Linked DNA regions of Anolis sagrei. The protein of the gene in region 1 interacts with the protein of each later gene in a pairwise test. Links are inferred from orthologs where the notes say so. Each region holds a gene or a part of one and is shown in the gene's direction. Other genes may lie near its edges.

Region 1 (7,316 bases):
TTGCACATAAACCCAAGTCCATCTATTGCACAAGTTCTTTAAAGGCTTGGTCACAAAGCCACATTTTCACTCTCTTGTGGAAGGTCAGAAGTGAGGGGGCTGTTCTAACATCACTAGGGAGGGAGTTCCACAGTCAAGGGATCACCACTGAGAAGGCCCTGTCTCTCATCTTGGTCAATCATGCCTGCAAGGAAGGAGGGATCAAGAGCAGGGGCTCCCCAGATGATCTTAAACTCCACAGTGGTTCATAGAGGGAAATACGTTTGGACAGATAAGCTGGGTCAGAACTGTTTAGGGCTTTATAGGCTAAAGCTAGCACTTTGAATTGTGCTCGGTAGCAAATTGGCAGCCAGTGAAGCTGACGTAACAGGGGGGTTTTATGCTTCCTGTATGCCGCTCTGGTGAGCAATTGGGCTGCCACCCGTTGGACCATTTGGAGCTTTTGAACCGTCTTTAAAGGCAGCCCCGCATACAGCACATTGCACTAGTCTATTCGAGATGTAACCAGAGTGTAGACTACTGTGGCCAAGTATAACTTCCCAAGGTACGGGCGCAACTGGCGCACAAGTTTTAATTGTTCGAACGATCCCCTGGCCACCGCCGAGATCTGTTGTTCCAAGCTCAGCAATGAGACCAGAAGAACTACCAAGCTGTGAACCTGTGTCTTCAGGTTGTAACCCTATACGCTGTTCAGCTGTTTGTTGTTGTACTGCAACTCATGGAAATGCCTAGGTACTATAGCCAATGGGTTTAATGTGGGATCAAGGGAGAGACAGCTCTCAAACTGAAAAGCCCCGGTTTTCCTCAGTTTTGGCTTTCCATTAAACTCTATCTGGGCAACAGATCACAAAAGACAACTCTTGCAGTGAATTACCCTTCAAGGACATCTTGATATACATGTTAACTGCTTACAGAGCAATACCTGCTGCTACTTCCTTCCCTGCTCCTCTTTATTGCTGTAATAGCCAAAGGCCAAAGAAGAAATTGCCAAGCATTGCTCAAAATCAGGAGAAGCCTGCTTCTGTTCTTGGGAAACTCCAGGAGCCATATGGATGACCAAAAAATGAGAGATATGGGGTGTGGCTGGAAGCCTGCTTTCTAGCATTGAAAAACAAGTGTTTGACTTCATATTGAATGGGGGTGGATGGGTCAATGGGAGTGCAACCTGTTTCAAAGGCGAGCTGCTGCTCCTGGAGGCTTCTCTGGGAGGCTATTTCTGAATTGTTGTCAAATGAACTTCGACTTATGGAGAGCCTATTCTTGAGTGACTTCTGTGTTCCCGTGCCATCTTTCAGACTCAGGACAGCCATGGCTTGAATCTATCCATCTGAAATGGGGTCTTCTTACAGTCCTCCATTTTGTCAAGCACTGCTGTCTTTCTAATGCGTGAATTCTGGATGGCCATCTGTCAGGGGTGATTTGAATGCAATATTCCTGCTTCTTGGCAGGGGGTTGGACTGGATGGTCTATGAGGTCTCTTCCAACTCTTTGATTCTATGATTCTTCTCCTATGTCCAAAGTAGGACAGCTTCAGTTTAGTCATAATACATAAATAAAAAAATAAATTGTATTTTTACCTGTTTCTCCTTATGGCTCTTGGCAGGGCACAACACAGTTAAAATATATTATCATAACATAAGTTTTATGAAAACTTATATTAAAACTTATTTTTTACAAAATGCACATATTAGAGTATAGAACAAAAATTAAAATACAACAAGCATAGAACAGTCCTCCAGGCATTTTGGACTTCAACTCCCACAATTGCTAACAGCCTCAGGCCATTTCTGCTTAAGCGGATGAGGGGGGAAAGGAAGGGGCCCAAGGCTGTTGGGAATTGTGGGAGTTGAAGTCCAAAACACCTGGGCTGAAGTTTGCCTGGACCTGATATAGAATGTGAATCTAAAATTCATAGTTAATAATTGCCTGCTGGAAGAGATGGGTCTTCAGAAGTGTCTTGCATTCTGACAACTGACTGAGCTGTCAAATATCTTCCAGCTGCTCCTCTTTTGGACAGCAAAGGAAAAGGTCCTCTTGGATGCACTATCTCTGTGAGTGCATCTACACCAGGCCTGGGCAAACTATACTTTGTTCTAGTGGGTTTTTTCGGGCTATAGAGCCATGTTCTAGAGGTATTTCTCCTGACGTTTCGCCTGCATCTATGGCAAGCATCCTCAGAGGTAGTGAGGTCTGTTGGAATTAGGACAATGGGTTTATATATCTGTGGAATGGCTGGGGTGGGGCAAGGAGCTCTTCCCTGCTGCAGTTAGGTGTGAATGTTTCAGCTGATCACATTCATTAGCATTTGAAGGCCTGTCTGAGTCTGGGAACATCTCTTGCTGGGAGGTGTTAATCTGTGCCTGGTTGTTTCCTCTCTGTTGTTTTGCTGTTGTAATTTTATAGTTTTTTTAATACTGGTAGCCAGATTTTGTTCATTTTCATGGTCTCTTCCTTTCTGTTGAAATTGTGCACATGCTTGTGGATTTCAATGGCTTCTCTGTGTAGTCTGACATGGTGGTTGTTGGTGTGGTCCAGCATTTCTGTGTTCTCAAATAATATGCTGTGTCCAGGCTGGTTCATCAGGTGCTCTGCTATGGCTGACTTCTCTGGTTGAAGTAGTCTGCAGTGCCTTTCATGTTCCTGGATTCTTGTTTGGGCACTGCGTTTGGTGGTCCCTATGTAGACTTGTCCACAGCTGCATGGTACACAGTAGACTCCTGCAGAGGTGAGAGGATCCCTCTTGTCCTTTGCTGAACATAGCATTTGTTGGATTTTCTTGGTGGGTTTGTAGATTGTTTGTATGTTGTGTTTCCTCATCAGCTTCCCTATGCGGTCAGTGATTCCCTTGAAGTATGGCAGGAACAGAGTCAGGAGAAATGCCTCTAGAACATGGCTCTATAGCCCCAAAAAACCCACAAGAACCTAGTGATTCCAGCCATGAAAGCCTTCGACAATACATTAAACTATACTTCCTTTCACTTAAGCATCTGAGGGGGGAAAGGAAGAGGCCTGAGGCTGTTAGGAATTGGAGAGCTGAAGTTGGCCCATGATTGATCTACAGAATATAGTATAAATGCAGTTTGGCACTACTTTTGTTATCGAGCTCTTTTTTGGGGTCCTCCCAGCGAGGGAGATCCCAGAAGACCGCATCACTTTTACTGCCATGGTTCAATGCTCTGGAATCCTGGGAGTTTCAGTTTAGCAACTCACCAGCACTTTTTGGCAGAGAAGGCTAAAGACCTTGTAAAACCACAACTCTTGGGTGAAAAGGAATCCTGTGAGGGAAAGGCTTAAGAGGCCCTGGAACAATGTGTTGTCGAAGGCTTTTATGGCCGGGTTGCTGTGAGTTTTCTGGTCTGCATGGCCATGCTCCAAGCATTCCCTCCTGACGTTTCACCCACATCTATGGCAGGCATCAGAGGTTGTGAGGTCTGTTGGAAAGTGATGTTTATATATCTGTGGAATGTCCAGGGTGGGAGAAAGAACTCTTGTCTGCTTGGGACAAGTGTGAATGTTGCAATTGGGTTGTTGTAGGTTTTTTGGGCTATATGGCCATGTTCTAGAAGCATTCTCTCCTGAAGGAGAGAATCAAGCTGCAATTGGCTAGCTTGATTAGCAATGAATGGCCCTGCAGCTTCAAAGCCTGGCTGATTGCTGCCTGGGGGGAATCCTTTGTTGGGAGGTGTTAGCTGGCCCTGATTAATTTTTGTCTGGAATCCCCCTGCCAAACGTCAGGAGAGAATACTTCTGGAGACATGGCCATACAGCCCGGAAAACTCAGAGCAACCCGGCCCTGGAGTAGTGTGGTGGGAGTCTCTTTCTCAGGAGATATTTTAAAGCAGGGGCTGAATCCAGGCCATTTGTCAGGAGTATCCCAGAGGGTTGGACTAGATGGCCTTTAGTGGTCTCTTCCCAGTTTAGGATTCCGTTCATGAGTGGATAGAGTGAGAGAAGGGGGGTCACGTGAAAGCGGGGGGGGGGAGAGCTTTCGGGGAGGTCACGTGACCTCTCCTCCTCCTCCTCCTCCTCCTTTCCTGCCCCCTCCCCCGCCCATCCCTTCTCCTCCAGCTGCGGAGGCGTCCGAGCAGCTGGGCTGGGAGGGTTTCCAGCGCCTGCCGCAGCGGCTCCAGGAGGGGAAAAGCCAAGGCAAGCGGGCCGCCCTGCATTGAAGGCGAGCTCTGCGCTCTGCCTTGCAAGGAAGGAGACCCGACCATGGCTATGGCTATGGCTATGGCTATGGCTGCGGCGGCGGCGGCGGAGGCGCCCTCCTTCTCTTCCTGAGGCTCCGGCGGCCACGTCCTTGGAGGCAGCATGTGGCGCGGGTAGGTGCTGCGGGTTAACGGGGAGGGTGGCAGAAAGGGCACCGAAGGGGGCTGCTTCCCCGGGGCCTTTTGGCCTGCCTTCTGCTCTGCACCAAGGAGGGGAGGCTTGGAGAAAACCCGGTGCGGAGGTTTTACAGCTTCAAGGGTGCATCTACACTGCGGAATGAATGCAGCTTGACACCACTCTCACTGCTGCCCTTCGCTTTCCCTCCAAACCACAGGATTCCACAGCAGAGCCGTGACAGTTCAAGTGGTGTCCAATCGCTTTCCTTCCACAGTGGAGAGCACCCCAAAGGGCAGCAGGGACCACTCTGTCTTCCAAGTCGCATCTCGCTTATGGTGACCCTCAAGCACCCCGTCACATTAGTTCTCATCACACTAGAGAACGAATCCACTTTAAATCCGGTTTCTGCAGAATTCTGGGAATTGTAGTTTAGGGAGGAACCTTTAACAGCCTCACTAAACTACAAACCCCAGAATTCTGTAGGAGGCAGAAACCAGTTTTAAAGTGGATTCATTCTCTAGTATGATCAAGTAGCTTGACACGATTTCTTCCAGAAGGTGTTTGCAGTTCCCTTCCTTGGGCTGAGAGAGAGTGACTCACACAAGGTCATCCAGTGGGTTTCCATGGCCCACCAGTGGTTTGAACCCAGGTCTCCAGAGTCATCATCCCAATGTTCAAGACATTTTGTCACACTGGCTCCTCTGTGGGTTGGGATTGTGGACAGAGGCGGCCCTAGGTAATTTTCAATGGTAAGCAAACAGTATTTTGGCACCCCCCCCCCCCCAACCAATCACTGATGTATATTTTCTGTTCGTCGTGGGAGTTCTGTGTGCCATATTTGGTTCAATTCCATCATTGGTGGAGTTCAGAATGCTCTTTAATTGTAGGTGAACTATAAATCCCAGTAACTACAACTCACATATGTCAAGGTCTATTTTTCCCCAAGAGTGCCTCAAGAGCGCCCCTGGGCAAAATCAACTATGCTGCAAATGCTTACTTTGCGTAATGGGTTGAGCCACCCCTGATTGTGGATGTGGGAGACTTTTCCCCGCCTTGCTTTGCACCCTCCCCATTCTTTCCCATGCTATTCCTCTCCTACTCCCCAACTTCTATTAGTTCAAGCCTGAACCTGATGGGCAAAGGTCACCCAAGGATGGGTGGGAGGCATGAGACTAGAAGTTGCAGATGAAGGGTCTACCTTCATTCTACCTGCCAAAATGCTAAAGACCCTCAGGCACCCCATCACAAGGTTTCCTAGACACGATTTCTTCCAGAAAGCATTTGCAGTTCCCTTCTTTGGTCTGAGAGAGTGTGACTCACACAAGGTCACCCAGTGAGTTTCTGTGGCCCAGCAGAGATTCTAACCCAGGTCTCCAGAGTCATAACCCCAGCATTCAAGTCTCACACTGGCTCCTCTGTGGGTCGGGGTTGTGGATGTGGAAGACTCCTCCTCCTTTGCTTTTCATACTCTCCATTCTTTGCCATACTTCCTCTCCTCCAAAGCAGAATAGAGGGGTAGCATTACTTCCCTAGATCTAGGGAAGTAATGCTACCCCTCTATTCTGCTTTGGTTAGAGCACACCTGGAATATTGTGTCCAATTCTGGGCACCACAATTCAAGAGAGATATTGACAAGCTGGAATGTGTCCAGAGGAGAGCGACTAAAATGATAAAAGGTCTGGAGAACAAGCCCTATGAGGAGCGGCTTAAGGAGCTGGGCATGTTTAGCCTGAAGAAGAGAAGGCTGAGAGGGGATATGATAGCCATGTATAAATATGTGAGAGGAAGCCACAGGGAGGAGGGAGCAAGCTTGTTTTCTGCTTCCCTGGAGTCTAGGACGCGGAACAATGGCTTCAAACTACAAGAGAGGAGATTCCATCTGAACATGAGGAAGAACTTCCTGACTGTGAGAGCCATTCAGCAGTGGAACTCTCTGCCCCGGAGTGTGGTGGAGGCTCCTTCTTTGGAAGCTTTTAAGCAGAGGCTGGATGGCCATCTGTCAGGGGTGATTTGAATGCAATATTCCTGCTTCTTGGCAGGGGGTTGGACTGGATGACCCATGAGGTCTCTTCCAACTCTTTGATTCTATGATTCTATTCTATGAACCTGGAAGATCACTCAAGGATGGGAAAAAGGCTTGGGACTAGAAGTTGTGGATGAAGGTTCCTTTTAGTTAGCTGTCTTCTAGCTGCCAGAATGCTAAAGACCCTCAGGCACCCTGTCACAAGATTTCCTGGACATGATTTCTTCCAGAAGGCCTTTGCAGTTCGCTTCCTTGGTCTGAGAGAGTGTGATTCACATAAGTTCAACCAGTGGGTTTCTGTAGCCCAGCAGAGATTCGAACCCAGGTCTCCAGAGCCATCACCCCAAGGTTCAAGTCTCACACTGGCTCCTCTGTGGGTCGGTGTTGTGGATGTGGTAGAATTTTCCCCACCTTGCTTTGCACCCTCTCCATTCTTTTCCATGCTACTCCTCTCCTCCTCACCAACTTCCACTAGTTCAAGCCTGAACCTAATGGGCAAAGATCGCCCAAGGATGAGTGGGAGGCATGGGACTAGAAGTTGTGGATGAAGGATCCTTTTATTTAGCTGTCTTTTAGCTGCCACAATCACATGTCCATAGCAGGAGGAGATCGATAATCTGGTCTCCAGAAGTTTGACCCTCCAGTTGAATTCTGAAGAAAAAGTAAACACACCATTCAGAACTGTTGTTGTGGAGTGCCTTCCTGTCATTGTGATTTAGTAGTAAAGGTAAAGGTTTTCCTCTGACATTAAGTCCAGTCGTGACTGACTCTGGGGGTTGGTGCTCGTTTCCATTTCTAAACTGAAGAGCCGGCGTTGTCAGTAGACACCTCCAAGGTCATGTGGCTGGCATGACTGCATGGAGCGCCATTACCTTCCCACCGGAGCAGTACCTAGTGATCTACTCACATTTGCATGTTTTCAAACTGCTAGGTTGGCAGAAGCTGGGGCTAAGAGTGGGAGCTCACC
Region 2 (8,210 bases), on another chromosome or scaffold:
GGTGTTTGTGGACAGTTACAGTGGCTGGCCAGAGGCCTTTCCCTGCTACTCCTGTACTGCCAAGGAAGTAAGCCATGCCCTCCTGAACCACATCATCCCCCGTTTTGGACTGCCCGCATGTCTGTCCTCAGACAACGGGGCATCTTTCATCTCCAAGGTCACGCAGCAGGTCGCCCAGGTCCTCCAGATCAAGTGGGACTTGCATACCAGCTGGCATCCTGAGGCTAGTGGGAAGGTTGAGAGGATGAACCAGACCATCAAGAGACAGTTGGCTAAGATTTGTCAGCAGGCGAGCTTGCCCTGGCCAGATGCCCTTCCACTTGCTCTCACTCGAGTTAGGGCAGCTCCTAGGGGAAAGTTAAAGCTGAGTCCCTTTGAGATTCTCTATGGTAGGCCCTTTCCTTCTTCTCAGGTTCCTTTAAAGGCTGATCACCTGCATGAGGTGGGATCCGAAAGCATTAGACAAAGGCTGTCGTTCCTTACTTCTATCCTCTCTTCCCTGAATAGGTACCTGCTTTCTCGCCTTCCTGTCCCTCTGGATGCTCCTGTGCACAACTTCTCTATTGGGGATTGGGTCCTCGTTCGCACCTACAAACCGGAGGCGTTGACCGAAAAGTGGGTTGGACCTCACCAGATCCTCCTCACCACCCACACAGCTGCCAAGGTAAAGGGCATCCGTGCCTGGATCCATCACTCCCGGCTGAAATTGGCCCCAGAGCCAGAAGTGGGGCCGATTGAGGGAGAGGAGACCGACGAGCAGTGGACCGTTGAGCCAGTGGAGGATCTGAGGCTTTTGTTCCGGAAGGCCCCTTCAGGAGACCCCCCTGCGGGTGGTCCGGCCGACCCGCCCCCTTCCAGAACCTCTAGGCGAAAAAAAACGTCGTGCAAGAGGACCCAGAGGCCCCCCTGGAGATCCCCACCAAATTCCACGTTCCTAGGACCAAGGGAACCTATTAATCCGCTACTTCCGGGTTTCTGTCAGCCCGCTTTTGACGTCTGTCAAAAGCCGTTCCAGCTGATTTTGACAGGAGCGCCCTCTACTTCACCCCAGCCTAGTTTCACTTTTCGCTACAAGCCGGCAGAGCGAGGGAGCTGTCTGCACTAGCACCACCTAGTGGTAAGCCTATTTTCCTACAATCCACGAGTGTCGCTGTCCAAAAATTTCAGCATGTATCTTTCTCTAATTCTTTGCCTGCTCTCTCTCTCTCAATGCAGGACCGCTAGTCCTGTCATTGATGACTGGTTATCTACAAAGGCCAACTTTTGGCAACAATTGGCATCTAGGGTTCTCAATATCTCTGATTTCTGTCTGTCAAGCGGAGTGACAGCCACGGATCTATTCTCGACTTGTTTGATCGGAATTCCAGAACCTCTGGAGACTTTTCGAAATTTTACCATATTTCAGCATATCCCATCCAAGCCTATGTCATACAGAGACCTGTCTGTATGGGGCAGGGCTGCCAAGGAAAGGGAACCGGGCATGGTGGCGATTAAATTGGCACATAGCCCCCATGCTCCACACTGCTTCAAAGTTCCCAAGTGCGTTGGGAAGTGCCAAAAATTGACCCAGGACAACTCCCTGAATTGCTCATCCATAGAGACCTTGCCTCACATGAATGCCCATTTGGTCTTGCCCCCAGGATGGTTTTTCCTGTGTGGGCAGACAGCCTATAGTTATCTCCCAGCCAATTCCTCCATAGGGAATTGCGCCTTGGGTAGGCTGTCAGTTTTTATGCCTTCCAAAAGTGACCTGGAACTGGCACATTCCCTGGCTAGGGAGGCTCGGTCCCTTCAAAACTTGGACCCAAATTGTGATCCTTCTGTGGTCATCAAGGGCATTCCCCAATTTGTAGCAACTGCCCTGTTCACCCCTGGGGTGGCAGCTGGCATGAACTACAGGGCCATTAAACATCTGGCCTGTGCTCTGGTCAAAAACCTCAATTTCACCTCACAAGCCTTGGCTTCCATAGCCACTGAAATGCACGAGCTGAGGGAAGCTGTGCTGGACAATCGTGCTGCCATAGATTTTTTGTTGTTAAAGAATCACTATGGCTGTGAGAGTGTGCGCCACATGTGTTGTTTCAATCTGACTGACCAGACCCCTGTAGTCCGTAAGGCCATAGAGGGAATGAATGATTTGGCGGCGGGCATCAAGGAGACCGTTGGCTTTGATCTCAGCTTTTTGACAGACTGGCTTCCTTCGTTAGATTGGCTCAGGAAGGGTTTTCTAGTTTTCTTAGGTCTCATAGTCCTTCTCATGGTTTTGAGCTGCTGCTGGTCTCACATTCCCGCTCTGTTCCAAATTTGCAAAAAGGGGAAGCGTTCTGATCCATCTCGCCAGATGGCCCTGCTGCCCCTGGCTGGGTACAATGCTTGGGCGGAAACATTGCGGAGTCCGCCGCCGCGGCTCCTGCAGTTTCCGAGTGGGGGTATGATAGCGCCCCAAGCGGCAGGGACTCCTGCCTTCAAGTTGGTTTGAACTGCGGCAGGGAGTTCCGCAGTTCCGGAGGGCCAGGTTGGGCCAACAGATGAAATGTGCCCCAGCCCGCAGCTCACAGCCAAGAACTGCATGAAACCTCTTGATTTTCTTTCACTTTCCCCTTCCCTTCCTTTGTAACAAAACCCTTAATAAACCACTTGAGTCTTGCAACTTTGAATCCTTTCCGCTTGATACTTTTGTGTCCTTTACTGCCTGAAGCTTTCCACATATCTAATGAACCTTTTTCCGAGCTCCGGGGAACCGTGAGCTCACCGGGGATGCCTTCCTGGCCTCCCCGGGCTTCTAAATTTACGGCCGAAAAAACCGCGGATACGGAGGGAATCCTAGTGGCCCCCCTTATCCGCCAAAACAACAACATGGCGGATCGGCCCCGTTCCAATTTTGTATTTTTCTACATTAAATTCTAACGCTAACTGCTATCTCGGTTTTTCCATTTTGGGCTCCGACTCTCGGGAAAAAATTGTGTTTGTTAAATGATTTAATTCGGCCAAGCAACAGCTGATTGTCAAATTTTAGCCGGCTTTCTGGATTGCTTTGCTCCGCTCGCTGCCGCTCGCTCTCGCATGGCCCCCACCGCAGGGGAACCACCGCCGCTGCCCGGCTGGGTGCCCTGGGAAGGGGGGGATTGGGCAGGGAGGCCCGATCCCCGGCTGGGAGCGTGGCTTACACCGGAGACGGAGCGCCAGAGCCTCGCTCCCCCTTCAGCTCCAGCTCCCGATGGACGGAAGGACTGATCTTCTGCCAGCCCGCTGGCACCCCTGGACTGCCCCCTTCGCATCCGAGCCCCCCGACCTGAATTTTGGGACTTTTTTAGTTTCCTTCTTTGCCAATTATGAAATAAATAAAAATGCCTTTTTCTGCGATGAACTGGGATGGGTGGTGGGAGGTGATGAGATATTGCCTGTATATTAATATTATCTATATGGTAGTGATGCCTTATGATTACGATGTATGTAACCCTATGAACTCCCCTGGATCCTCACCCCCTTGACCCTTGTTCCCCCCCAAAAACCGACGTGACCAGGAACTGCCCGAGGAAGGGGCCCCAACCTCTTCCTCAATCACCCAGTGATTAACTCAATTGCATGGACAGTGCTGCAAATCCCTGATCCTATCGTTCGGAGCAAGGCCAGAGGGAAAAGGAGATTTGCAGAGACTCAGGAAGAAAAGACTGATTAATTCAATCAGACATCGTCGACCCTCCGGGTGGTCCAATGTCGACATTGCCATTCATATTTATCCCCAAAACCCATCAAGGCCAAGGAAGTCTTTTGTTTCTTAAGGATCACCCTCTTCCCGCCCGGAACAAAAGCCGCATTCCAGCGGCAGGGGGTTCCAAAATTTCATCATCTTCCCCCTTTGTCCACGGCCGCTCCGCCTCCTCGCTCCTGATTGGTCTAGCCTCAGAGGCGAGCCGAGGGTTCCCATTGGCCCTCCCAGGGGGCGGGAGCGTCCTGATTGGCCAGGAGGCGGGGCGGATCGCCCAGCCTCCTCCCAGCTGTTTCAGGCACAGCCAATCAGGGCGAAGCCGGCCGGCAGAGGGCGGCGGGAGTTTTGAAACTGTTTTTTCCTTTGTCTGCATGCTATAAAAATGCCTGGAAATTCTGTAAAATTATGCTTATGGTGGAAATATCCCTGTAACGCATCCTTTTCAGCTGAATCGCAAAATAAACGCCTTGATCGTTGGATTCTTCCGCCTCGGGTGAGCTGATTACATTTTAACCTTCCTGCATGCTTGGATTGGCTCCCGGAAATCTCGCCGAGGTACCAGGACCCTCTTTGGTGCGGTCCTAGGGCTTTCTCTCTTGGAGAGGCCCCCCAAAAGAGCTCGATATCAAAAGGACTTTTGTCTGCTGGGGCTAGCTGTGAATGTTTCAACTGACCACCTTGATTAGCATTCAATGGCTTGGAAGTGCCTGGGGGGAATCTTTTGTTGAGAGTGATTTTATTGTTTCCCCTCTGTTGTTTTGCTGTTGTAATTTTTGAGTTTTTTAATACTGGTAGTCAGATTTTGTTCATTCGACAATACAATTAATATATTGTGATATTGTATTATATTGTACTATACCACTGTAAAATTACACGCAATATATAATATACAATTAATATATTGTTTTTTTGTATTATATTGTACTATACCACCATACTTCAGTATGATTAGTAATATTATATCCAATTATTATATTATGATATAGTATTATATGTTCTTATTGGTAAATGCTGCGGCTCCTTTAAGACACGTAACTTCCGGTCTGTTCTTCGCCACCGCTAGAGGCGTTTTGAGCTTCATCTCCTTTCTTCGTTTGTTTTAGACCTACTTCCGCCCTGGACCGGAAGCGGGGCCGCCATATTGAAGCCGTTTGTGGCGGAGGAGTGTGCCCTCTCAAGGAATGGCGGCTGGAACCGGAAGTGCCCTCCACCAAGCGGATGTTTGAGGCCGGAAACGCTATCCGTGTGGGAGGAGACCTGGGCAGAGAGAGAGAGCGAGGAGGGCCGGATAAGGAAGAAGGAGGAGGCCGGCTGAGTCGCTTCCGTGTCTGCCGAGAAGAGGAGCAGAAGAAGGCCTCGAAGCCGCCGCCATGGGGGGCTCCCGCGACGATGAGTACGACTATCTTTTCAAAGGTAGGCCTCAGGCCTCGCTCCAGGGCCTTTGGGGGCGCGTTTCCTTGAGAAAGGCCTGGCTTGGGCGTTTGTTGATTGATTTGTACCCCGTTTTCTCTCTCCCTACGGAGACTCCAAGCGGCTCACAATAAAAAAAACATGACAAATTAACATATGCAATAATAAAACAGTATTATCATTCTATATGATTATATATTCTCAGTAGTATTATCTATCTATATAAATAAAAATGTAATGTTCGTTTGTAAAATGTAAAATGTAATGCAGCTAAACATAAAAAAAACCAAGATTATGGCAACAAGAATGATTGACAACTGGAAAATAGAGGGAGAAAATGTGGAGGCCGTGACAGACTTTGTATTCCTAGATGCAAAGATTACTGCAGATGCAGACTGTGGCCAGGAAATCAGAAGACGCTTACTTCTTGGGAGGAGAGCAATGTCCAGTCTCGATAAAATAGTAAAGAGTAGAGACATCACACTGGCAACAAAGATCCACCTAGTCAGAGCCATGGTATTCCCTGTCGTAACCTACGGATGTGAGAGCTGGACCTTAGGGAAGGCTGAGCGAAGGAAGATCGATGCTTTTGAACTGTGGTGTTGGAGGAAAGTTCTGAGAGTGCCTTGGACTGCGAGAAGATCCAACCAGTCCATCCTCCAGGAAATAAAGCCCGGCTGCTCACTGGAGGGAAGGATACAAGAGACAAAGTTGAAGTACTTTGGCCACATCATGAGGAGACAGCAAAGCCTAGAGAAGACAATTATGCTGGGGAAAGTGGAAGGTAAAAGGAAGAGGGGCCGACCAAGGATAAGATGGATGGATGGCATCCTTGAAGTGACTGGACTGACCTTGAAGGAGCTGGGGGTGGTGACGGCCGACAGGGAGCTCTGGCGTGGGCTGGTCCATGAGGTCACGAAGAGTCGGAGATGACTGAACGAATGAACAACAACAAATGTTCGTTTGTGGGATTAACAGAACTCAAAAACCACTGGATAAATTGCTGCCAAATTTGGCCACAACATACCTACTAGCAAGGAGTGACCATCACTCAAAAAATTTGATTTTGTCATTTGGGAGTTGTAGTTGCTGGGATTTATAGTTCACCTACAATCAAAGAGCATTCTAAGCTCCACCAATGATGAAATTGGGCCAAACTAGGACTCCCATGACCAACAGAAAACACCGGAAGGGTTTGGTGGGCATTGACCTTGAGTTTGGGAGTTATAGTTCACCTCCATCCAGAGAGCACTGTGGACTCAAATAATGATGGATCTGGACCAAACTTGGCACGAATATTCCATGTGCCCAAATAAGAACAGAGATTGAGTTTGGGGGAAATAGACATTGACATTTGGGAGTTGTAGTTACTGGGATTTATAGTTCACCTACAATCAAAGAGCGTTCTGCATCTCACCAATGGCAGAATTGGGGAAATCTTCCCACACAGAACCCCCATGACCAACAGAAAATACTTAAGGTCATCCAGTCCAACTCCTTTCACCAGGGCAAGAAAAAGTAATCAAAGCCCTCCAGCCATAGATATTGATAGATATATTTGATTCACACACAGGAAGATATAGTATCATAGATCTGAAAGGGATCCCTAAAGAAGGACAATGATATGTTGCATGTTCCAGAGCAGTAATGAGAACACTGACAAAGAAACAGCAAGAAATAGTGTTTACCCACAAGCATAAAGAAATTACATATATTAGGAACTCACACTTTCACATTACTTTATTTTATTCACCACACTGGGCCAGAGCAACGCATGGCAGGGGACTGCTAGTATTTAAAATAGTTTTATTACTATCTTAGAATATTATTCTATATTATATTGTATTATTATTAGTATTATAATGTATTATATTACAATGTTATCAAAATTATATATATAAATTGTATAGCCCAATATAATTAATAATGAAACTTTGATAAATAATAAAACAGGCTTTGAAGCTGCAAGGTCATTCAGTGCTCAATCAAGCTGGCCAGTTGCAATATTCACACTTGACTCTAACAGACAAGAGTTCTTTCTCCCACCCTGGACATTACTCCACAGAGAGATATATAAACCCCACTGGCCTCGTTTCCAACAGACCCCTCAACCTCTGAGGATGCCTGCCATATATGTGGGCGAAACATCAGGAAATGCTTCTGGAACATGACCAGGCAGCCTGGGAAACTCACAGCAACCCAATAAAACTTTATTTCTATCCCGCTCAATGTCCCCGAGGGGACTCAGGGTGGTTTACAACAGATATCGGCAAACATTCAATGCCGTGAGAAGCTGAACAAAGATAAAATTAACCAAACCCCAATCCCAAAAACAAATTGGCATCTACGTCAAAAATAATAACACATTATACTGAAATACTATTCAATGTTATTATATTGTACAATATTACAATACGTATGTATAATATACTACCAGTATATTATACTAGTAGTATTATATAATATATTGTACTATTTCATAAGTTGTAGTATATATAATGTATATAATATATTAGTATTATTAGATTACAATGTTGTGGAGGAGGGGAGGTTTTTTTAAGCGCACTTCCTTCCTCCCTCCCGGCCTTCTCCAACTCCCAGAATGCCTCACCATTGAAGAAGCTGGCGAGGCCTTCTGTGAGTTGTAGGCCACAAACAACCGGACATTGAACTCATTGAAATACCCCTTTGGTGATCCTTAACCCCCTGTTTGACCAGCTCCGCCTCAGGGTGCCTCTGCAGGCAGCAAGATGCTGGAAACTGTAGTTTGGCACAGAAGAGGCAGAAGGTCATGCTACATAGATAGTTTATTTAATGCTTAGACCATAGGTTTTTCACATATAGGACAGACAAATAATAATAATTTTATTTCTTATCCGCCTCTCCTCATGGCGAGTTACAAAACAATTAAAATACATAAATACAGCAAAAACACTACAAGTACACACATATTTGTACCTCTATAAAACGTACCTTCATAAAAGTTACACACCAAAACACATCTTTATGAAATATATATTAAAATGGACAAAACCAAGATTAAACAATGGACATGCATTAAAATTCATGTTTATATTTCAAGACTATCTGG

The links. The genes of interacting proteins can lie anywhere in the genome.
Region 2: the proteins of RAB3IL1 (region 1) and RAB11A interact in a two-hybrid assay, tested with the Homo sapiens proteins (2 studies listed by BioGRID and IntAct). The two-hybrid records come from large-scale screens. The link is inferred for Anolis sagrei from reciprocal best matches to the Homo sapiens genes RAB3IL1 and RAB11A.

The regions. Positions count from the first base shown.
Region 1 is NC_090021.1:237,453,023-237,460,338, reverse strand, and holds the start of RAB3IL1 (guanine nucleotide exchange factor for Rab-3A), read left to right. Parts: upstream 1-4,041; 5' UTR 4,042-4,311; coding exon 4,312-4,322; intron 4,323-7,316. UniProt on the Homo sapiens protein: Guanine nucleotide exchange factor (GEF) which may activate RAB3A, a GTPase that regulates synaptic vesicle exocytosis. Promotes the exchange of GDP to GTP, converting inactive GDP-bound Rab proteins into their active GTP-bound form.
Region 2 is NC_090029.1:25,563,990-25,572,199, reverse strand, and holds the start of RAB11A (ras-related protein Rab-11A), read left to right. Parts: upstream 1-4,927; 5' UTR 4,928-5,079; coding exon 5,080-5,122; intron 5,123-8,210. UniProt on the Homo sapiens protein: The small GTPases Rab are key regulators of intracellular membrane trafficking, from the formation of transport vesicles to their fusion with membranes.